6 linked regions of the Oryctolagus cuniculus genome follow. The protein of the gene in region 1 interacts with the protein of each later gene in a pairwise test. Links are inferred from orthologs where the notes say so. Each region holds a gene or a part of one and is shown on either strand. Other genes may lie near its edges.

The links.
Region 2: the proteins of PSTPIP1 (region 1) and TULP3 interact in binary tests that used the Homo sapiens proteins (3 or more experiments, as listed by UniProt). The two-hybrid records come from large-scale screens. The link is inferred for Oryctolagus cuniculus from reciprocal best matches to the Homo sapiens genes PSTPIP1 and TULP3.
Region 3: the proteins of PSTPIP1 (region 1) and CD2 interact in a two-hybrid assay, tested with the Homo sapiens proteins (2 studies listed by BioGRID and IntAct). The link is inferred for Oryctolagus cuniculus from reciprocal best matches to the Homo sapiens genes PSTPIP1 and CD2.
Region 4: the proteins of PSTPIP1 (region 1) and protocadherin beta-14 interact in binary tests that used the Homo sapiens proteins (3 or more experiments, as listed by UniProt). The two-hybrid records come from large-scale screens. The link is inferred for Oryctolagus cuniculus from reciprocal best matches to the Homo sapiens genes PSTPIP1 and PCDHB14.
Region 5: the proteins of PSTPIP1 (region 1) and LSM4 interact in binary tests that used the Homo sapiens proteins (3 or more experiments, as listed by UniProt). The two-hybrid records come from large-scale screens. The link is inferred for Oryctolagus cuniculus from reciprocal best matches to the Homo sapiens genes PSTPIP1 and LSM4.
Region 6: the proteins of PSTPIP1 (region 1) and PTPN12 interact in binary tests that used the Homo sapiens proteins (3 or more experiments, as listed by UniProt). The link is inferred for Oryctolagus cuniculus from reciprocal best matches to the Homo sapiens genes PSTPIP1 and PTPN12.

Annotation. Positions count from the first base shown.
Region 1 is NC_091443.1:107,548,565-107,552,787, reverse strand, and holds the start of PSTPIP1 (proline-serine-threonine phosphatase-interacting protein 1), read right to left. Parts: upstream 2,801-4,223; 5' UTR 2,786-2,800; coding exon 2,570-2,785; intron 2,294-2,569; coding exon 2,193-2,293; intron 2,025-2,192; coding exon 1,950-2,024; intron 1-1,949. UniProt on the Homo sapiens protein: Involved in regulation of the actin cytoskeleton. May regulate WAS actin-bundling activity. Bridges the interaction between ABL1 and PTPN18 leading to ABL1 dephosphorylation.
Region 2 is NC_091440.1:106,431,258-106,435,360, forward strand, and holds the start of TULP3 (tubby-related protein 3), read right to left. Parts: upstream 2,801-4,103; 5' UTR 2,726-2,800; coding exon 2,676-2,725; intron 1-2,675. UniProt on the Homo sapiens protein: Negative regulator of the Shh signaling transduction pathway: recruited to primary cilia via association with the IFT complex A (IFT-A) and is required for recruitment of G protein-coupled receptor GPR161 to cilia, a promoter of PKA-dependent basal repression machinery in Shh signaling.
Region 3 is NC_091438.1:53,714,333-53,717,940, forward strand, and holds the end of CD2 (T-cell surface antigen CD2), read right to left. Parts: intron 1,216-3,608; coding exon 902-1,215; 3' UTR 501-901; downstream 1-500. UniProt on the Homo sapiens protein: CD2 interacts with lymphocyte function-associated antigen CD58 (LFA-3) and CD48/BCM1 to mediate adhesion between T-cells and other cell types. CD2 is implicated in the triggering of T-cells, the cytoplasmic domain is implicated in the signaling function.
Region 4 is NC_091437.1:28,761,700-28,764,050, reverse strand, and holds the end of protocadherin beta-14, read right to left. Parts: coding exon 1,004-2,351; 3' UTR 501-1,003; downstream 1-500. UniProt on the Homo sapiens protein: Potential calcium-dependent cell-adhesion protein. May be involved in the establishment and maintenance of specific neuronal connections in the brain.
Region 5 is NC_091447.1:65,595,513-65,599,795, reverse strand, and holds the start of LSM4 (U6 snRNA-associated Sm-like protein LSm4), read left to right. Parts: upstream 1-1,483; 5' UTR 1,484-1,636; coding exon 1,637-1,639; intron 1,640-3,995; exon of another isoform or gene 3,996-4,171; intron 4,172-4,283. UniProt on the Homo sapiens protein: Plays a role in pre-mRNA splicing as component of the U4/U6-U5 tri-snRNP complex that is involved in spliceosome assembly, and as component of the precatalytic spliceosome (spliceosome B complex).
Region 6 is NC_091434.1:142,090,724-142,094,223, reverse strand, and holds part of PTPN12 (tyrosine-protein phosphatase non-receptor type 12), read right to left. Parts: intron 2,609-3,500; coding exon 2,549-2,608; intron 900-2,548; coding exon 757-899; intron 1-756. UniProt on the Homo sapiens protein: Dephosphorylates a range of proteins, and thereby regulates cellular signaling cascades. Dephosphorylates cellular tyrosine kinases, such as ERBB2 and PTK2B/PYK2, and thereby regulates signaling via ERBB2 and PTK2B/PYK2.

The sequences.
Region 1 (4,223 bases):
GACCCTTGAATCTGTGTTTAACTCCTGGATTCCTCCCCCCGCCCCCAACACACACACCCCGGTCCAGGACACGGCACACAGTCGGCGCTGCGTAAGTGCTCGCGGACTCCATGGGCAAACAGTGCCTGCCTGGCCCACAGGTGAAGAACGGGAAGGGTACGTGGCCTCACAGCAGCACTTACAGAGCACCGACTGTGTGCAGTTAGCTGAGCTGGGGCCCCTGGGGGGGAGCTGCGGGGGGCTCAGCTCCCGCACTGTCAGTGGACCCTGGGCTTGCCCTCCTCCTATGGCAGGAGCACCCCCAGACCCTGCCTCCCCCAGAAGTGCCTCCCCCACCCTGCTCCGCCCTTGCACCTGCTCCTCTGGCCGCCCAGTGCAGATTTCCCCACACCTCTCCCCACCTGCCCTGAGGCCTTGGGGGCTGGGCTGAGGGGCCGCTCAGGTTCTGATGCTATGGCCGAGCCCCCGCACCTGGCACCCCCAGCCCAGGCTCCAGTCCCCTCCCTGCCTGGGTGCAGCCTCTGGATTAAAGCCCCACCCCCTACTCCCAGCCTCCAACTCCCTGTGCCACTTCCCCCAGTCCCAAAGCAAATGGCCAGGGTGCCCAGCCAGGCCCCCAGCCACACACCAGGAGGTGGGGTCTGTGAGCCGTGAGGACCCCATGCCTGCGAGGTGGGGTCTGTGACTGCCTGGAGCAGCCCGTCCCAGGCAGGGACCCAGATCTCGGAGAGGGTGTGACCACCCCAGGGCCACCCAGTAATGAGTCAGCGCAGACCCTGCCCCAGGCAAGCCCACGGCCTCCACACTTTAGAAACGGTCCTGAGCCCCTTTGCAGCTCCTGCCCCCACCCCCCGGGTCTCTGAGCGACCTCAAGCCTCCGTGCCACCGTCCCTGGTGACTCACGGCCCCCTGGGGAACTCTCCCGGGCCGCCTCCGCAGTCCCCCGCCTCCCCTCCCACGGGCCCACCCCCTTTTTCCAGGAAAGTCCATGTTCCCCAGCTGGCCTGGGAGGCACAGGCAGCAGGGATCCCACACACCCCTCCCCCAGCCAGGTCCCACAGGCCTTCCTGCCCCGCTCTGCACCCTAAGGGAGCCACAGGGCAGCCCGCTGAAGCGGGCAGATGAGCACCGACTCAGAGAGGTGGAGCGTCTTGCCCAGAGCCACACAGCACGGCCCCTCTGGGCACTGGACAGGAGTCTCCCCTGGCTCATGCAGCTTTAAATCTCCCACCAGCCCTTCCGTCTCTGTTCCGGCTCCTAGTGGGGCCCACCAGGGTCCCTGTCTCGAAACAGGGTCGTACGCTTGGGTCTGTCTCTTGGGCGTGGCCAGGCACGTCGCAGGCCTGACCACCAGGGAAGCAGGGGTGAGGGACGGGGTTGCTACGGCAGCTGCTGGCCCCTGGGCAGGGGGAGAAGTTGGGGCGCCCAGCTGGCCCTCGCCCAGGAGCACCTGCGCCTTCCAGGAGCAGCCCCAGGCCAGGACGACCCCTTCCCGCTGAGGTCAGCCGCTCCGGGCCCTGTCCCGCAGGCTGTGGGGGCCTCGGACCACAGGGAGGCCCAGCAGCTTCAGACAGCCCTGCCCCCACCCCGAGCCACACCCACATGGCCCCCGAGGAGGGGCTGCAGTATTGCTCCATCACAGTGTGCGTGGCCAGCCCAGGTCACACAGCAGGCGTGCGGAGAGCTGGCACGGGAGCCAGTGTGTCCCCAGCCCCGAGTCCTGGCCGCACATCCACCCTGGGAGCCCGGCCGAGCCCGTAGAGGGCTGGCGCCTGCCTCTCAGGACTGGGGCTGCACACGCAGGCGCCCAGGGATCAGGGCCCTCCAGCCTCCAGTCCCTTGGGGCTTCTTCCCTGCACACGGTGCTCCAAGGAGGGTCCCCTGCCCCAGGAGGCCCTGCGCCCGGTCTGAGGCCCAGGACGGCCAGCGAGGGCTGCGGGAGCGCTCACTTGATCTCCGTCTGTCCGCCGGCCTTCCGTGCGATCTGCACCAGCTCCTTGCCGTAACGCTCCTCCGCCTGGGCCCTGCAAAAGCCAAGCACGTGCCGTCGGGCCCCCAGGACGCCAGCCGCCAGCGCCCCACCCCTGGGGCCTGGAAACAACCGTGGGCCAAACCCAGGCAGCGGTGCAGGGCGGCCTCACCCTGGCTTCTGTGAAGCAGGGGTGTGGGGGCGCCTCGCTCCCCCCGCTCACCTCTGCCGCAGCAGCTCCTCCACGTCCTTGCACATCTTCCTGCCGTCCAGCAGCCGCTGCAGTAGCACCTCGTAGCCCGTGTGCGCCGTGAAGTCCCTGCACTGACACAGGGCAGGGCGGGGGCGCAGTGAGGCCCGGAAGGCCCCCCACTCTCCCCACATCGCCCCGCTGAGACGACCAGGTGGCATCAGGACCTAGAGAGGCTCAGGAGCACAGTGAGCGGGGCCGCTGTGCCTGGGGACACGGCCCGGCCCGGGAGACCTCAGCTCCACCTGCAAATCCACCCCCCCAGGGGGTGCCTGGCACGGCCCGGATGCCCCCCCCCCCAGCTCCATAGCCCTGTTGACTTGGCTGAGCCGCAGGGAAGCAGCCCTTACCTGGGGAGACCCAGCCTGGAAAAGCCAAGGCCCGACCTTGAAGCCAGGCCGGGGAGCTGGCACCAGCGGGCTGGCCCCTGGGCGGCTCACGTGAGCCTGACTGCATGTTGCGGCTCGTGCCAGCCCCCTGCGCCTGCCAGGTGAGGCGCGCACGCTGAGCGCCTGAGTCCATGTTCTCCGTGGGCGGGGTGGGGCAGGGCGGGCGTTTGGATGCATCGCGATGAGGAGGGAGCAGCTGTGGCCACCCAGCACCTGTGACAACCCAGCACCTGCAGGCAGCCTGGGGCTGATCTGCTGTTGCTGGAAACTGTCCCAGGCCTGGGCAGAGGGTCCTCCTAGCTCCCCTGGTGCAGCCCAGGCAGCCCGTCCCAGGGACCGGCCATGGATCCTGGACGCTGGCTGGGTGCCGGGCAGGGCAACTGTGGCACCTGTTGCCCATCTTACTGTGGCCGCCGGATCCCAACCCCATTCCCAAAGCGGGGCTCTCGCAACCCCACGCCCTTTCCTGCTTCACCGTCAAAACCTGGCGCTCCGGCCTCCACCCAGCACTGGCCCCTCGAATTACGGGCCTCTGGGGAGCAGGCCACAGAGCCAGAGTCCAGGGGAGCTTCCTGCAGGAGGCGGCACTGGGAGGCGCAGACGGGGACAGGGGAGCAGTCATGGTGCAGAGGGTCCCACCGGCCCCTCCGGCCAGGCCAGACCCACCCTCAGCAACTCAGGACCTCAAGCTCTTGTCCCCTCCGAAAGCATCCCCAGAAATTCCTGGGGGGGGGGGGCCTGGCTGGGGCTCAGCTGCCTGCAGGGCGACAAGAGGTTCCTGGGCCTGTCCTAGAGCCAGTGTCCACCCCCCACCCCGTCCAGGCTGGGCCGGCTTCCCTGGGCGGGCCACAGCCTCCCATGCTCAGCCCCTGCCCTGCCTCCGGCCCCCCGGGTCAGAGCCTGTGGCAGCCGGCGAGAAAGAGCCACAGACCTGCCTGCTCCCTCCCGCGAGGGCTCCTCCGGACCTGGGCATCCAGCTCAGAATCCCCCTGACCGGACAGCTGGGCAGCGTTGGTGCAGGGCCCCTCAGTCCTGGGGAAACTGAGGCCCAGAGAAGGGCAGGGGTGGCCCCAGCAAGATCTGCTCTTCCTGCTCCGAGTCCTCTCCCCTCCCGGCCACACCCGGCCCAGCCCTCCAGGGAGACCCCCAAAGTGGGAAGAAGCCAGAGCAAACCTACAGCGGCCATTCTGCTGGGGCCCTGCAGGCAGGCCCTGGGGTCCCCAGGAGCACGCAGCCTGCAGCCTGCAGGATCCTGGTGTGCAGCCGATGAGCCACGGTCACAAGTGACCAGGCTGTTCGGAGGAAGTGCCTGCCCACCCCCGGCCCCGCCCCGCACCTCCTCCACCACCCCCGCCCCTTACCCAGCCACCTCTGACTCTGCTCCGAGCTCAGTGCGCTGGGAGATTCTAGCCTGGCGATCGTGGGCAGGTGCACTGCACCTGGGCCCTGCCCCAGCCGCCACCCGGCACCCTCGGCCTCTGTCACGGGAACCCGGCTGTGACACCCATGGAGACACCCACTGCCCCCCCCCCCAGCACAGCGGCCGCAGAGCCAGGAGCAGAGGTGGTGACCAGGAGGAAGCTCTGGGCCGCTCTCTGGCCTGGTCCAGCACGTG
Region 2 (4,103 bases), on another chromosome or scaffold:
TTCCAATGCTCACCAAACCCGGTGGTCTGCGGGTAACCTGTGCTCGTTAAAACGCACACAACGCCCGGCTTCAAGCAAATCTGGAGTGTTGCTCCCGGCTCGGTCTCCAAGCCTCACGAAATATGTTAGAGGAGGGAAACAGTTGAAGCGTACTTGTTAATAATTCTTCCGCTCTGTTTTTCCATGAGGCGGATTTCTTTTCAACAGTCACAGAGTTCAGAGAAAAATAAAATCACTGCAAAACTAAAAGATGCTATCCTCACATAAAGTATTAATACTGAAAACTTATCAATGTATTTCATCAAAAGGACACGGAACACACAACCTGAAGCCCAACAGCAAAAGACACGCACTCCCTTTGGACAAGAGACGGATGCAACAGTGGCTACAGCAGCGAATGCTACAGTGGCAGAAGCTGCACTAACATTACCCAGCCCAGCAAACACACTCAGGGACTCACACGTTCCCCTTTGATGTCAGTTTTAATAAGCAGCTGGTTTCTCTAGGAAGAAAAAGAGGGGAGAAACTTTAAATTTACATCTTTAAACTTCAGGTACAATAAAAAAAATTTTTTGCCTCCTGGCTCTAATTTCCAAGTCCACCTCATTTTCTTTTTCTTGTTCAAACATCATGAGTCATATCAAACATCTGGTGCTCACGAAATTTACTGCTTTAAATTCAACTGAAAACTGACCGTCCACAACTGAACAAGTGCCATCTCAATTCAGAGAAACTGAGTGCTGACTTCATCTCTACACAGCATCTCCATACCTGTATTTGAAAATGTAGATTTTTTCTTTTCCTCTTGACTTGGAGGGGAAAAAAGCAACAACGAATGCAGCCATCACAAACAGGACTCATTCGGGGAGGAAAACGGGGGCTCTCTCCCTGAGCGCCTCCTCTGTGACAGCTTTTTTTTTTTTTTTTTTTGGCAGGCAGAGTGGTCAGTGAGAGAGAGAGACAGAGAGAAAGGTCTTCCTTTTGCCGTTGGTTCACCCTCCAATGGCCACTGTGGCCAGCGCGCTGCGGCCAGCGCACCACGCTGATCCGATGGCAGGAGCCAGGTACTTATCCTGGTCTCCCATGGGTGCAGGGCCCAAGCACTTAGGACATCCTCCACTGCACTCCCTGGCCACAGCAGAGAGCTGGCCTGGAAGAGGGGCAACCGGGACAGAATCCGGCGCCCCGACCGGGACTAGAACCCGGTGTGCCGGCGCTGCAAGGCGGAGGATTAGCTTAGTGAGCCGCGGCGCCAGCCCTGTGACAGCTTTTAAAAATGATTCAGAATCATCTAAACGTCTACTAGTTAAGCACCAGACTAAACCCTCAAATGCCAAGTGTTCGTTTGCCGTGGTAATGGAATAAAAGGCTGGGAACAGGCAGGACTGGCCAGTAGGATCTGAATCTTCAGACGGGAGGGCCAAAGCTTTAAGCCGCACTGCTCCTTGTTAACTTTTCATTAGCCTCGTCAACAAGAAAATCCACAGGCTGAGGTTCGGATTCTTTCCTTTCCCGGGCTTTCCCTCCGGCAGGGGCAGGAACGGGGGAGGGCACAAAGTCTAGAGTACATCAGAAAACAAGGCAGAACATCCCGCTTGAGAGGCAGCCACGGGAAAGCAGGGGGAAGAAAATCCAGTTCCCCATTTTCAGCCTGGCGACTCCCTTCCAGAACTCAGCACTGCCTGCCAAAAGCAACGGCGGTGGAGCAGATGACTAAATATCACCCTCAACCTCCGCCTGGCCTCATCGCGGGAAGTCTTGGTGGCTCCTCGGCTGAGACATGGAGGGGCAGAGCAGCCAGAGACGGGGGCCCGGCGGAGCAGGGATGCAACCACGCTGAAGCCCCCTTTCTAGTCCTTGTCGTATTCAGATGAACACAAGCTACCTGCTGAGTTTGGGACTAACTACACTGCGCATCTGCTCTCACACACACATTGCACTCGCTTGTGAATCCCAGAAAGCGGCCTTGGCGAAGCCAGCTGAAGTTGCAAAGCAATGCATCCCTCCGGGCCAACACAACCAGAGAAAGTCACTGAACTGAATTCACCCTGACAGAATGCAAAGGGGTTACTAGGAGCACAGCCCAGCAGCCGCTCTTTGCTGAACGAACGGGCTTCACCTGGGCGAAGGAGCCAGGGAAAAATCTCTTTGACAGGATACCTGGCCTCCTTCTCAGCTGTACAGAACATCCTGCCACGCCCTCCTGATAAATCCAAGCCATCAACTTCGGAGACTTATAAAATACCCTGTTACCTTGGGCGCCCTGTGCTCCTGACCAGCCAGCGGCCACGTCCTCCCTAACACCCCAGACCCAGGACGGCTGTTCTTGAATCCACGGTCTGCTACCCTCCTCATCCACTAGTGCATTAAACTTCTCCCCTTCATCTTCAAAACTTGTCCCCCCCGCGGCGTGGACGAGGACCCCGCACTGGGTAAACGAGGCCAGCTTCTCAAGAAACTCCAGGAGCCCGAGCGGCGACCTGCACAAAAAGCCCTCTCTGGGTACCGAGGGTCTGCGAGCCCGCGCTCCCCGACGCCCGCCTGTCCGAATCTGAGGGTCCCAGGTTGAAAGCGGGGAGGGGGCGCGCCGCCCCCGCCCGACGCCCCGCCCTCTCCCCCGGAGCCTCCGCCCTCGTCCCTCTGTCCGCTCCACGGGAGACCAGCCTCGTGCGTGCCTTTCCGACCTGTACCCGTGGGGAGCCAGTCCACAGCGCGACGCCTCCATGGCCGGCTCTCCGGAACGGCAAGCAGGGGCAGACCCCCAGACGCCGCTGCTGGGGTGGCAAGTCTGGCCGGCGGCCGGGCCCCGCCCCCTGGCAACCACACCCCGCACTGTCGCCGGCGCCCATTGGCCCTCGCGCCGGCCGCCCCTCTCTCATTGGATTCCTAAGGGGCGGGAGGAGCCCGGGAGTTAAAGGCGCCTGCGCCAGGGCGGGGACGCGGCGCCGGGGCTGGATCCCCTGGAGCGCTGGGCTGGGCAGGCACTGAGCGCCGGATGTGTGGGCGTCCGCCGGGCGCCTGGGCTCCCTGCAGCCGACAGGGGCGTCCGCCCGAGGAGCAGCCCACCCCCACCTTGCGCCACCCAGGGAGCGGCTTCGGCCTCGCAGCCGCGTGCATTTGCAGACCCTTGCGCCGCCCTCGCCTCCGTAACCCACAGAGAACTGCTCCAGCTCTTCCCTGGTGCACAGAGGACAGGAGAGGATGTTTCCGTCCCCCCCCCCCCCATTTCCTGGGAACCAACTACTCTCTACCAAGGCTGGGGAACTATCACTTGGTCCGGCCCTGCCAAGGCAGCTGCAGGCGGGACTCGTGGAGCAGGCTAACTTTTAAGTTGGTAATGCTCCACGGCCCACGGAGATGTTACAAATTTCCAAATGGCACTCGGCAGAAAAGAGTTCCCAACCCCTGAAGTTGTCTCCGTGGCATTTCCCATCGTCAGCTGTTTGCACATGGGTTACATCTTTAGGAGGGGCTGGCACCGTGGAGCAGAAGGTGAAGCGGCCACTTGCAAGGCTGGCGTCCTCTAAGGAAAGCCTGCTGGAATCCTGGCTGCTGCAGTTCTGATCCAGCTCCCTGCTGTTCTGCCTGGGAAAGCAGCAGCTGATGGCTCAAGTGCTTGGGCTCCAGCCACCCACGTGGGAGACCTAGATGGGGATACTGGCTCCTGGCTTTGGCCTGGAACAGCCCTGGCCAGTTTGGTCATTTGGGGAGTGAACCGGCAGACGGAAGTTGTCTCTCTCTCTCTCTCCATCACTCTGCCTTTCAAGTAAACAAATCTTTATTTAAAAAAAATTTAAAGGCATAGATCTTGGCACAAACTAACAGCAGAGCATTGAACTTACTGTGTGACCATAAACATGGCTCACTCTCTGGGCTTCAGATTCCCACCTATAAACAGAACACCTGCTTGGTCCAGCTGGGACTGCACCTGACACAGTGTAGGCTCCTGAATGCTCAGTGAATGGGGCTTAAATGAGATGCTACTTGCATAACCCACGTGACACTTTGTTGACTGGGCAAGCCTGCATTAGCTCCAACAGTATTCAAAAAGGTCCACGTTTATGTATACACCGTTATTATAAGAAACCATTTTCCTACCCTTA
Region 3 (3,608 bases), on another chromosome or scaffold:
GCATGACACCAGTATCTCAAAGCAGCTGCCTGTCCCCCGCCTGTTTCAGAACTGCAGCTGAAAACTCTTTGCTCCGCGTCCCCCAAAAGACGGGCTCCGCTCCTCCAGTCCTGGCCCTTTACAACACGCAAGGGTGTGATTCAATGCGGCCGTCCCCCGGCAGGCCCTTCCGCGTGGCACCGCCAGGACCCGGGGCCCCTCCCCTTCCAGGGACAGCTCTGCAGAGCACTGTGACCACGCCCAAGCTGCTAAGGAAGTGAGGCCCAAACCTATGGAGATTGGTATGGAGCATTTTCAATACGATACACAAATCTACAAACCAGTTTTTGGGGGCCCAGCTTTGGAGTGGAGGCCTGGGGGGAGCAGCACATTGTGACCATGCTGCTGGGCACTGGACGAATGGGGTCGGCCAAAGCTGATGCTTCTGTCACCACCGAGCCTCCTCCCCAGCTTCCTCGCCACGGCGCTGAGCTCCCTTCTACAGCGAGCAGGCACAGGGGTGAAACCAAAGCGTTTATTTCCCTTCTGCTCACAGGACAGCGAGCGAGCGTCCACCAGGACACAGGAGAGAGGACCTCAAGCACACGGGGCTCCCTTTAGGGAGCCCCAGGCCCCACAGTCCCCCAGCCCGCCCTAGCATGCTCGCACGCGGTCTGGAGGGAGACCAGGAGAGCACTAGACCAGCTGGGTCCTCACAACCACAATTCGAGTTTGTCCCTTTCTAGGGCGGCCGAGTGCGACCAGGAGACCAGTGGCTGCAGACGGCAGCCTGAGCAGCCCACGTGGCTGAGGCCCACGAGCCTTGGGAGTCGGTGACGTCGTGCGTGCAGGGACCACCTGATGGCGGTGTGGCCACGCCCCCCAGAGCGGAGAAATCCACGAAGGGAAAGGTCCATTTCTTCTAATTAGAGGAAGGAGCCAATGAGCTTTCTGCAGTCCCTTGGGGAGGTTTTGGTTGAACTCGGGGTCTGGGGAGGGGAGGGCCTCTCTGCTGGTGACCTTGCGTGCCCGACGGAGGCGGCCTCTTCTGCTTCTGGTGCTGGGCACGGTGGGCAGGAGGCAGGGGACGATGCCCAGGGGCCTGGGAGCCGTGCCCAGGTGGTGGGGGAGGTTGGGCAGCTGCTGGATTTGCAGGCGTGGAGGCTGGAATTGGAGGGAGCTTCCGGGCCCTTTCCTCGGTCGCTGCTCTCTGCGCTCTCATCTCCTGCTGCTCGTCTGCAACAACAGAACACCAGCATGCCAGCTGCCCTGGGCACGCGCTGTGCCAAGAGGAGGAGGAAGCGGAAGCGGCCCCTCCCATCCAGCCGAGCCTGCCAGCTCTCGCAGGAGAGACAGAAAAGCTCACCACAGGTAGAGCGAGAGCCCAGGGAACCGGAGAGAGGAAACGCACACGTGGAGGCTTTGTGTTGGGGCTCCGGGAGCAGAGAGCACCATCAGACCCCGGGGCCCTGCCTCCGTGCCACCCCTGGACTGCACCCGCAGTGATGAGATCCGATTGGCTACAGGGCACATGAGCAACTGTATCTCTCCCGTTCTGTGTCAGCCCTGCTCCCACCCCCTGCCTGCTGTCAGGCGGCCCCCATTCTGGGGAGAGGCTGGGACACACACAAGGCTTTGTAGTCCTTGGGAACCTTCCTCATCCCTCAGAAAGTCATGGCCCAGCCTCTCGGGCTTGGGAAGGAAGTAATCTCCCTTCTCTTCGCTCACTGGGATGTTCTGCCTTGTAGGACGTCAGACCACACCGAATAGAAATGTAGTTGTTGCAGTGCTGTTACAAACTCTACGGGAACCCTTAGGTGCTCAGCGCCCATAGGCCTGCCCCCTCTGGCTCCTTCAGGCTCCCAGTTAGGTTTCCTGTGCCCCTGCCCAAGGCCACCCTTGCAGCAGCTGCAGTGGGGGGGGGGCCAGGAGAGAAGTGGTGTGAATCTGTGGGTAAGCGAGTGATGTTCATTCATTCATCTTTACGGGGCTGTGCGTTCGGGCGGCACGGTCCCGCCTTTGCATCCCCCTGTAACTGGGGGCTGATGCTATCAATCCAACTGCCTCCGACCGCTGCAAGTGCAAGCCCCAGCCGCTTTGACTCAAACCAGGCCCTGTGGCTCTGACAGCGGAGCGGCCCACCTGCTCTAAGCACAAAGAGAAAGGCACAGGAGAGATAAAACACAGCCTGGGTGCCACCTCCGGTGCCTTGGGGAGGCTGGGGTGGTGTCTGGGAGGTCCCAGGTCCCAGCTGTGGAGCAGTGGCAGTCCTTCTCTATCCCCATCCCCCAACCCCATTCTGTTCATTTGTTCTGCCAACATGTGTGCCTCCTCCGCCAGGCGGTAGGTGCCATTGCCAGGGGCAGCAATGACTCAGACACAAACACTGTCCTCAGGAAGCCTAAACTCAAGGAAGCAATGAACCAGGCCTGCGAATCCCAAAGTCCGTCTCTGGGAAGAGCTCAGGGCCACCAAAGAAGTCTAGACAAAGAACCATGCGAGTGCGGGCAGATACAGTGGGCTGTGGGCAAGTGGCTTGATTGGACACACATGGCGGGCACGGCTCTGTGAGACCTGCCTGGTCCCCTAACAGCAGCACCTTCAGCCACTGTCTAAACACCTGCTCCAAGGACCTCCTCCAGGCTCTTCATTTGCATATCCTGGCTGCTCAATCCAGGGCCAGGACTAGGGTGAGACAAGCAAGGCTTGAGGCATAAAACTTAAAGAAGCACCCATTCCTCAGGGTCATGCAAGGGCAGGACAGGTCTGAGGATGAGGACCTCCTTAAATTCTGCTCCCTGGGCTCCTTGCCTCATTGTGGTCCTGGCTCTGCCCTTCTGGCTGTAGGATTTGGGGCAAATACTTAGTCTCACTGGGTTCAAGTTTCTGCCCCTGCAATAATATTATCTGCCTGCTAAAATCACTCTGGAAGTGGGATGAGATCATGTATGGGATGACAAAACACAGAGGTCGCTAGTGCAAGGCACAAGCAATGGGTTAAACTGAGCATCACAGTGGTCATTCGGGTCTGATCATGGCAGACAGCGCCTGTCTTGGAGTGAGGTGGGAAGTCTGCCTTGGGAGGACATGTGGTCAGTCTTTGAGTATTAGATGATGAGAAGGGGGCCTCTGTGTGTGAGTGTGTGTGTGTGTGTGTGTGTGTGAGCAAGGCACTGAGGTGAGGGAGCCTGGGAACCAAGGGCTCAGCCGCTGCGGCTGTTCCTTCGGGGTAGAGAGTGAGGCGGCAATGGCAGTAGGAAGGATGGCTGTTAAGCTTAGAAAGTTCTCCCACGGCTTGGGCTGGGGACAGTGCAGGTTAGGGATGTGGGGACAAGGGATGGCAGCCTAAAGAGGTAACTGAGGAAAGAAGCATGACATAAGGAAGCCAAATTCCAAGGGCACAGAGCCCAAGGCCACCACGGCTCAGGTAAGGTTAGACCGGGTCCACAGGCAGTGCTAGAGGTAGCCAGTGAGGGTGTGCCGAGCCCACTTTCTGGAAAGGCCTGGAGCAAGCAAACCCAGCCCTGCTGCTGCATGTGAGAATACACAGGGGCCCAGGGACCTGCTAGCTCTCCAGCATGACCTGCCTATGGCCGACGCCCCCATCCCAGCACCCACGGTGACACCTG
Region 4 (2,351 bases), on another chromosome or scaffold:
TTCATGAAGTTATTCAGGATGAGACCATGAACTATTATCTGTTTTAGTAAAGAAAAATCTAAATACAAATTTAAATGAGTAAACACGGCTGGTGGCTGGCATTCTGGCATAGTTAAGCCATTGCCTGCAGCGCCAGCCTCCCATATGGCTACAGGTTCAAGTCCAGGTTGCTCCACTTCTGATCCAGTTCCCTGTGAATGTTCCTGGGAAAGCAGCAGAAGATGGCCCAAGTGCTTGGGCCCCTACACTCACACAGATCTGGATGGAGTTCCAGGTTCCTGGCTTGGGCCTGGCCCAGCCCTTGCTGGTGGTGAATATTCTTTCTCTCCCTCTCTCTGTAACTGCCTCTCAAGTGAAAACATAAATCTATTAAAAATGAGTAAATCTGAAATATTTAAAGAAAACAATATAGCAATACCAAAGCACAGAATATTGTAATACTCCTCACAAGCATTAAAAACAACAAAAATACTTAAAGAAAAAACCACTTAAGAAATCGATCACTTACAATGTAATCACTTTAATTTTCCTACAACATGAATTCTTGAAAAATAACTTTCTCCAGAACTCAAAAAGAGGCGATAGTATGTTACATTTATGATGAAAAATTTTAGAAAACAGTGCAATAAAACCAATATTCTTTGTACTCATTCAACATTTTTATTTCTGATTTGTCTGTTTTGATGGTGTGTATAAGTAAATTAATAATGACATTTAGTCTTAATACTTTAGGTTCCATATCCAAATAATTAAAAATATTGTCTTGCACAACAATATCACTATCATAGCAAGAAGCAGTAGTAATTTGATTAATACACTTTTGACTAAATAAAAACCCAGAAAGCACGGATGCACAGTTATTAAATGAGTTCTAAAGAAACTCTGAAGACAGCATAAGAAATACTGCATGCAACTACCAGATGATATAAAATGCATTAAAGTTTAGACAAAAAAAATCAGCAGTTTTACGAGAATAAAAGATTAGAAGTTTAAAAATATTATCTTATTGAATGTTGAATCCGAAGCTATTACGGAAGTTTTCACTTTCTTCTATATTCCTACCAACGTCAGAGACTTGAAGATTGGGGCTAATGGGCTTCATGAACTTGAACTCCCCGGTCCCAGCGTCGCCCGTCAGGCGCACCTCGTACTGGTAGCTGTGCGACAGCGTCCCGCCGCCGCTCACGTCCAGCAGCGGCCCCGGGAAGCGGCCCTCCGCACCCGCGCCGCCGCCGCCGCCGCCAACCGCACACCCCGCCCCCACCCCGCCCCCGCCCCCGCCGCACAGCCGCGCCGCCACCAGCGCCAGCACACTCAGCACCAAGAGCGACGACACCGCCGCCAGCGCCACCACCAGCTGCACCGTGAGCGAGTCGGGCCGCGCCGCCTCGGCCGCCGCCGCCGCCTCGGGCAGCGCCAGGTAGGGCTGCGAGAAGCCGTCCACCAGCAGCACGTGCAGCGTGACGCTGGCCGACAGCGGCGGCTCGCCGTGGTCGCGCACCAGCACCAGCAGCCGCTGCCTGGGCGCGTCGCGCTCGCTCAGCGGCCGCGCCGTGCGCACCTCGCCGCTGTGCGCCCACACGCCGAACAGCCCGGGCTCCGTGGCCTTGAGCAGCTCGAACGACAGCCAGGCGTTCTGGCCCGCGTCGCCGTCCACCGCCACCACCTTGGTCACCAGGTAGCCCGCGTCGGCCGCGCGCGGCACCAGCTCGGGGCAGGCGGCCGAGCCGTTGGCCGGCGGGTACAGCACGGCCGGCGCGTGGTCGTTGGCGTCCAGCAGCTGCACGCGCACGCGCGCCTCGCTGCTCAGCGCCGGGGAGCCGCGGTCGGCGGCGCGCACGCCGAACTCGAAGGCGCGCAGGGCCTCGTAGTCCAGCGCGCGCAGCGCGTACAGCTGCCCGCTGTCCGCGTGCACCGACACGAGCGCCGCCACGTCGGGCTGCTGTGGCGGCGGCAGCAGCGAGTAGGTCACCTGCGCGTTGGCGCCCGCGTCCCTGTCGCTGGCGCTCACGGAGCCGATGAGCAGCCCGGGGCTGTTGTTCTCGCGCACCAGCAGGGTGTAGGCGGCCTGGCTGAAGGCCGGGGCGTTGTCGTTCACGTCGGACACCTGCACCGCGACGTGGTGCCGGGTGGTCAGCCTGGGCGTGCCCAGGTCGGACACGGTGATGGTGATGTTGTACTCGGCCCTGGCCTCCCTGTCCAGCGCTCCATCGGTTACCAGGGTGTAGAAGTTCTTGAAAGTGGGCTTCAAAAGGAAGGGGAGGTCATCCTGAATAGAGCAAACCATCCTTCCGTTGTCTCCAGAGTCTGGATCTCGGACACTGAAGATGGCGACAAGAGTCTCTGGCGTG
Region 5 (4,283 bases), on another chromosome or scaffold:
TTCTACGAGGCTGTGGGGCCGAACGGGGCCCCCACCCAAGCCCACACCCGCCGGTTCCGCCGTCGGGAGAAGCCCGGGGCTGGATCCCGCGTGGGGCGGGTCCCAAAGGCAGCAGGTGGACCTGCAAGACCCGGATGGAGCCTGGCCCGGACCTACCGCCAGCTCCCTGCGCATGCGCACCCTGGGCGGCCGCAGGTGGACCTGCGAGACCCAGCGTGAGCCTGGCCCGGACCGGCCGTCTGGGGAGGAACCAGCGGGCAGAAGCTCTCCCCCCAACCCCCCTCCGTCATTTGACAGGCAGAGCCCCTACCCGCCGCCTCCCAGGTGCCTTGGCGGCATCAGAGCAGAGCCGGGGCTCGAACCAGGGGACTCGAACCAGCGTCGAACCAGCTTACGCCGGCCGGGCCTCTGCCGCAGCAGACCCTGGGTTTCAGCGCCCCAGGCCCCCGCGTAGGAGGGGCCGGGCCTGTGCGCTCCCGCTCCCGGCGCCCGGAGACTCCAGAGAGGGGCAGGCTCTGCCCTGGGCGGGGCCGCGGGGCCTGCGGGGGAGGGGGCTTGAAAGCTAAGGTTATCTGGGGGCAAAAATAAAAAAGCAGAATCCACAAACTCTCTCCTGTGTGCTTTCTCTTCACACCTTTTATTCTTTAAAAACTTTATTTTTGTTTATTTGCAAGACACAGGGACGGGGGAGAATCTTCCACTAGGTGAGGTCAAAGCCAGGAGCTGGGAACTCCTTCCGGGTCGCCGGGGGCCCAAGCAGTGAGCCACGGCTGCTGCTGGCCAGCGTCCGCGTGCGCAGTCCAGCAGGGCCGGGGCTTGAACCCGGGTGCTGAGATGTGGATGGAACCGGGACTTGAACCCAGGGCGCTCGGATATGGCCTGGGCCGGGGCCGGGTTTCGAACCCGGGTGCTCAGATGTGGCCAGGGCCGGGACTCGAACCCGGGCCCTTGGATGTGGCAGGGGCCGGGGCTCGAACCCGGGCCCTTGGATGTGGCAGGGGCCGGGGCTCGAACCCGGGCCCTGGGATGTGGCCGGGGCCGGGACTCGAACCCAGTAAACTAGGATCTGGTCCGCGGGCGTCCTCAAATCCGGGCCACACGCTCACCTGGGGAACCGATCTCTCGAGTCCGCAAACACCTGACGTCACATTGACGTCACCTGCTAGTTCGGGGACTGCGCTGCGCCAGCATCGCTAAGGGCCGCCGGTTCGAGTCCCGGCCGCCCCACTTCCAACCAAGCACAAGAACGAGACCGAGACGCAAACCCGGCGCCATCACGGCCCGGCCCACACCGCGGAGCCCGGGCGACAGGACCGGCTCCTCTCTGCGCATGCGCAGCTACCCACAATGCAGCCGGCGCGCGCTGCTCCGCCCCCTTTTGCATCACTCGCCACGGCACTTTACGGCTCCGTCGCGGATTCTTCTGGCGGGAAGTTAGTCCCACCCCCTCGTGCTTCGAAGACCCGCCCTTCTGTCCGGGGATTGGTTATGCGTCCCCGTCGCCCCGCGGTGACTGGCTCCCGCTCCTGCCACTCCTTTTCAGGCTTGTGGCGCGCGGCGGGGCGGCGACCGGCGGCAGCGTGATCGGCGGCGGCGGCGGCGGAAGTGGCCGGGGAGCCCGGTCCCCGCCGACACCATGGTGAGGGCCGGGCGCCGTCGGGGTCTGACCGGGAGGCGGGGTGCGGCTGGGGGTGGGCACGCGGCCGTCGGCGGCCTTCGGGTTGGGCCGTGGGGGTCGGGGCGGTGCGCTCCGGACGTGCGGGCGCAGCGTCCAGTCCCGCCCCCAGCCCCGAGCCGGGGAAACTGACCCGAGACGGCAGGTGCCTCGCCCGGGGCACCAGTACGTTGTTCTCCGAGGTTCACGGCTGGGCCGCCGTTAATCAAGGCTCAGCAGGTCAGCTGCGCGCTGTCCACTTTCCAGACGGGGAAACTGAGGCCGGAGGGGGCGGGGACCCCGCCGTCGGGCACTGTGGCTCGTGGGTGCCGCTGGGGGCTTCCGGCCCAGGGCAGGGTCCCCAAAGCGGGGCCGTGCGTTTCTCAGAGCCGGGGCCCGGTGGCCGGCGCCCGCTGCACGCCTGACGGCGGGGCTGGCCACCACGGCTGGCGGGCACTGCCCCTGGGAGTCCCCAGCTTCCGCCTGCTGCCGAGTTTCCTGGCCCAGGGGTGCAGGAGTCCTGTGGTCAGGGCGGGGCCTGGGGTGGGGGCGCCCACGGAGGGTCGCCCCGAGTTAGGAGCCCTTGGGTGTCGTCTTTGTCTTTGGTTTTTACGCACTGGAAAGAGAGGGAAAGGCAGGTGCAGAAAAGCCCCAGACGGCTCGGGGCTGGGGCAGAGCCAGGCCAGGAGCTGCACCCGGGTCTCCCACGCAGGTGCCGGCCCCCCCAGGCGCTCCGTCCGGGTCTCCCACGCAGGTGCACGGCCCCAAGGAGCTCCGTCCGCGTCTCCCACGCAGGTGCAGGGCCCCAAGGAGCTCCATCCGGGTCTCCCGCGCAGGTGCAGGGCCCCAAGGAGCTCCGTCCGGGTCTCCCACGCAGGTGCAGGGGCCCGAGCGCTTGGGCCATCTTCCACTGTTTTCCCAGGCGCGTTAGCGGCGAGCTGGGCGGGAAGTGGAGCAGCCGGGACTCGGGATGGGCGCGGGTGTCCCTAGCCGGTCTGCGGGGAAGCGAAGCGCCCTGGGCTGCGCCTGCCCCTCCGCGCGGGCGCTCCTAGTTCCTCCCCTTGGACCTGTGGCTCCCGCTCCTCCCTTTCCTTGGCGGCCGCCGGGCCCGGGGTGGTGCTGCCTTAACCTCCTGCAAATATTTACCCTGGCCCCCGCGCCCGCGCGCCCTCCCGCGGGGGCAGCCTCCACGCCCACTGCGGGTTTTCCAGTCTAGCCGGGGAGACAGGTAATAAACACACGCGATAATTAGACGCCGGCTGCAGCCTATAATGAAATAAACAGCCGCGCGCCCCAGGGTGCCCATTAGCTGGGCCTGGCCCAGGGAGGTGACAGGGGGCGGAGGGAGGCGGCCCCGGGGCTGTGGCTGCCACCTGCCGGGGTCACGGGCCGGGGCGAGCGCCCAGGTGCCTGTGGCGGGGAGAGAAGCCCCACCCCCAGCCAGCGTGAGGCCCTGTGTCCCTGCGCCCCAGCGTGGCTGGCGACACACGGCATCCAGATGACAAGCAGGGGCCGCCCCGCCCCCACCGCCGCCCCCTCTCCACGTGGCCCCTTCTTCCTCCTGAGCCCGGCCTCCAGGAAGCCGGGGCAGGAAGTGGGCTTGGGCCTGGCTTCCTGCTGCCCCCGGCCTCCCCTCCCCCAGGGGCGCTGCTGGGGAGGGCCCGCGGCGGGGGGGGGGTCTCCTCCTAGCTCACGCAGGAGGCTGGGGGGCGCAGGCCATCGCCCACTGGCGGAGCCGCCTTGCGTGGGGCGGGGGTTCCTGCCGGTTGGAGCAGACTCAGGTCCTCTGACGCCCGCGCGGCCCCTGGCAGACCCGGAGGGGGTCCCTCCTGGACAGGTCACGCCCACCCCACCCTGGCCCGGTGACCGGAGCACTGGGTCATCTTCAGCTGTGCCCCGCGCAGGAGCTGCGTCAGAGCCGGGGCTCAGCTCCACAGCGCCCCCAGCTGTCCGCCCGCCGGCTCCCCTGGGGCGGGGGGCTGCCCTGGGACGGACGCGGTCCCTGCGCTTCCGCACACAGGCCAGGGCCCCAGACCATGGCAGGGGGTGGCCCAGGAGCCCCCCGCAGGCGCAGCATCCCGGGAGCACCGGCTCCCTGCGGAGGGCCTGGGAGGCAGCGGGGAGGGGAGGGCCCCGCGCTGGGCCCCCGCCCCCACCGCCCACGCGGGAGACCCGGATGGAGGCCCTGGCTTCGGCCCGGCCTTTAGTTGTTTGAAAGGCAGAGATACGGGCGCCCTGCAGGCCCCAGGCTCCTCCGTGAACTTTCTGAATGCGGTCATATCTGCACCTCAGCTGGGCTCATCCAGCCAGGCGCGTGATTTATTTACTTTATGGGAGGGAGAGAGGTCCCACGTGCGCAGTCACTCCCCAGAGCCCGGAGCGCCATCCCGGGGCTCCCAGCCAGGGCGCGCATGCGCGGGGAGCTGAGCGGGCCCTACCCGGGGGCCCCCAGCCTGGGACGCAGCCGCCCTGACCAGGACGCCCAGCGCACACCCCTGTAAATCCGCGCGGTTATTGGTAAAAATGAGCAGAGCGGGCCTTGCGTAGACCTGAAGTCTTGGCGCGGCCTATGGGCCCTGCGTGGAGCCGTCCCCGCTCGGCCCGGGCCTGCGTGTGTTCTGGAATGTTC
Region 6 (3,500 bases), on another chromosome or scaffold:
GAGTGAACCAATGGAAAAAGGAAGATCTTTCTCTCTGTCTCTCTCTCTTTCACTGTCTACTAACTCTGCCTGTCAAAAAAAAAAAAAAAAAGAAAAGAAAAGAAAAGAAAAGAAAAGAAAAGAAAAAAAAAAGAAAAACAAAGAAACAAAAAACCAAAAAAACAACAACGCCCTTAAAAATAAATAAATAAAAAATAAACCTACATTATGACATTTCTGAAATTAGTATCTATATCATCACTAATGGCTTCTTACAAGCAACCTATTTCTGTTTTAATTGGCAGACAATTTCATTCTTAGTGTATATAAAACATTAGTATGTCTTAGAACTGATGGTACTTTAGATCAACTAAGATCTTAAGTATGTACATCCATATACATAAGAAAACCCATACCAATGTTTATGAGACATGAAACTTGCTTGGCCACTGTTTGAGGTAAACTGATCTATCCACAAAAAATTCTATTGTGTACTTTTGTCTTTCTTAGTTAATCTAAATATTACAGTATTGACTTTAAAAAGCAGGGTATAATGGATACTGATTAGACTACATGCTTTAATTAGTAAGCATCCCACCATTTTCAAATAGATGATCTTACATTTTAATGTAACATTTAAATAATCAGCCATGAGATTACAGGCCTCAGACCCATACCGTATAGAAGAAATTCAGGATTCATTATATTAATGCAGAAATAAAACCAACATCAAACTTAAAAAAAACTACTATATTTGAATGTTTGGGAAACTTATACCTGCAATGAATGCAAATGGGCACATCTTCATGTTCTTGATACTTCCTCATTAAGCTTATCATGTCTAGAATAGAATCAAATGATGAAGGAACATCATGGTCTGGCCAGTTTACATAATGAAACTGATACAGCCTCCGAGACTCCTTTAAAAAAATGGAAATCCAACAGTTATGAAAATATATTTGCCAATTTTAAAGCTTTATATCACACTTAACTGACTTATCTAAGACATCTGGTTAGGTACTAAGCACCACATTAAAAACAATAACAGCCTGCATATATTGACTACCTATTTAAGGAGGTCATATGCAATAATTTATTCAATTCTCATAAGGAAGGTACTGTTAATTCTATTCTCATTTCAGGGTTAAGGAAATTGAGACAGAAAGATGAAACAACTTGCTGAAAGTATCACAGAAGCGACAAATGTGGGATCTTACCCAGGCGGCCTTAACTTCAGAATGTAAACATTAACTGTCAATACGCCATTTAACTAAATACACACTATTAAACTTGGTGAGTAATATACTATGAGTACTGTGTTAGAATATACTGTAATTAGAAGACTAAGTAAATATTAAACAGAGAAAGAAGCACATCTGTCCAACCTCAATCCATTTGTCTTACTATGGATCGGCAGTTCTTGAAATATAGTCTAGGAACCCTTTCTGGTGGGTGGCCATGAGTTCTAAACTATTTTGAGAAAAATGCTAACATGTTATTTGCTTTTTTTCTTCAATAGCTAATGGAATATATGCTTGTTTTCATGTTTTTAAAAAATTTCTCAGTTTTAATCCCAGTAAATATTAAAAGATATAACCTGTATAAACAAAAGCTCTTTCGGATAAGAATATAAGGGAATTCTGATGTAAAAATTGTTCTCAGAACAGTTATTCTAGGTGTTGAACAGAAAGAATTGGGCTTGAGATTTAAGCAAAGTTACTCAAATATTTTCCTGCCATTTGATTAGTAGTTTTAGGTAAGCTATTTATCTTTTCAAAGCCTTTGTCTTGTTAGGTAACAAGATTATATACGATGTAGATAATAATATCTACTGTTACAAAGTTAAGAGGATTGAGGTACCTGATACACTATAGAAATTCATTAAGATACTCATCCTTACTACTATAGATTTAAAAATAGCAGCAAAGTATAATAAGTGATGCATCTAGAGGGAGCCAAATAGTAAAGCCAGGTGGGAGGACACACATAAACAGGACAGGAGGCCTTAAGTGTGAATGCATGAGTTGGGAAGAGGGATGTACTTCACAGCCATACTAAACTACTTATTATGGTTTAAAAATTATGATAAAAACAGAGCAATGAGGATAAGTATTTTCTAATGTCCATCAGATTTTTTATTCTTTTCTGGAGAAACTATCATTTTATACAGTTCTGACATAATGAAATCAAGGGCTTCAAGTTAAAACATGTATCTAAATGTTGATGGTTAACTTTCTAAAAATCCATAAACTAGTCAAAGTGGGTAATCATTATATAAACACTGTAACCTGCTTTATTGTGTCAAAGAAAGCCTAATTATTTTAAATACAACAAATTTAATTTAGGAATGTTGTTCTAAGTTAAAATTTTAATTATTTTATTACATAATTTGATAAGCATAAGGCTCAACATACTACGTAAAATATACACTGTGATTTTCTTCTTCAGTATTTTACATTACTTAAAGAACTACCAAGCTTTCTTAACTATGTAAATAGTATGCTATTCATATATAATCTCCTATTTGGAAAGTATCCTTAAGAGATTATCTTTAATGGAAAGTACTTACATTCTGAAATTCAAGTAAGAGTGTCCTAATGAAATAATCTGTTCTTGCTTGTTCATCTTCCTAAAATTGAGAAAGATCTGAGAATCAGTAAAAATATATACATACCAAAACAAAAACAAAATAATTCTAAAAGCCATCAATTCACTTATCTAAGTTGTATTTATAATTTTACAAAACTGATGAAGACATTTGCTATGTAGTAATCATCCCCACAATCCCGTAACAGAAATACCACAGTCACTCACTCAGTACCTACCACTGTATCTCACATTTAATCACTTTATCTTTCCATAGGATTTGATTTTCTCTAACAATCAACTCTGAATTATTTGGATAGCAACTGGGAAAGGAAGGAGGAAGAAAATCCCAAAACACGACACCACAGCTGATAATTTAATCATTCTAAAAGCCAGTCATCTGAGGTATTATAATGAAGCCTCTACATCAGTTGCCACCAAGCATATTATTTTTTGCCTTATCAGTTAAACCACAGACAGTTTAGGATAGTGACTTTCAAGACAGAGCAAGAGTGTGCATTATCAATAAAACAGATACTTACAATTATTCATTTTAAGTTTTTAAAACTACAGTAATTTACTTTCATCTTTCCAAATAGGGGTCAGCACTGTGGTGCAGCTGGTTCAAGCCCCAGCCTGCAGTGCCGGCATCCCATATGGGCATCAGTTCAAGTCCTGGTTGCTCCACTTCCAATGCAGCTCCTGCTAATATGCCTGGAAAAGCATAGGAGGATGGCCCAAGTCCTTGGGCCCCTGCACCTTCATAGGAGAATGTGAGGAAGCTTCTAGCTTTGGATCAGCTTAGCTCTGGCTGTTGCAGCCACTTGAGGAGTGAGCCAGCAGATGGAAGACTTCTCTCTGTCTCTATCTCTCCCTGTAACTCTTTCAAATAGATAAAATACATCTCTAAAAAAAGAAAACAACAACAACAACAA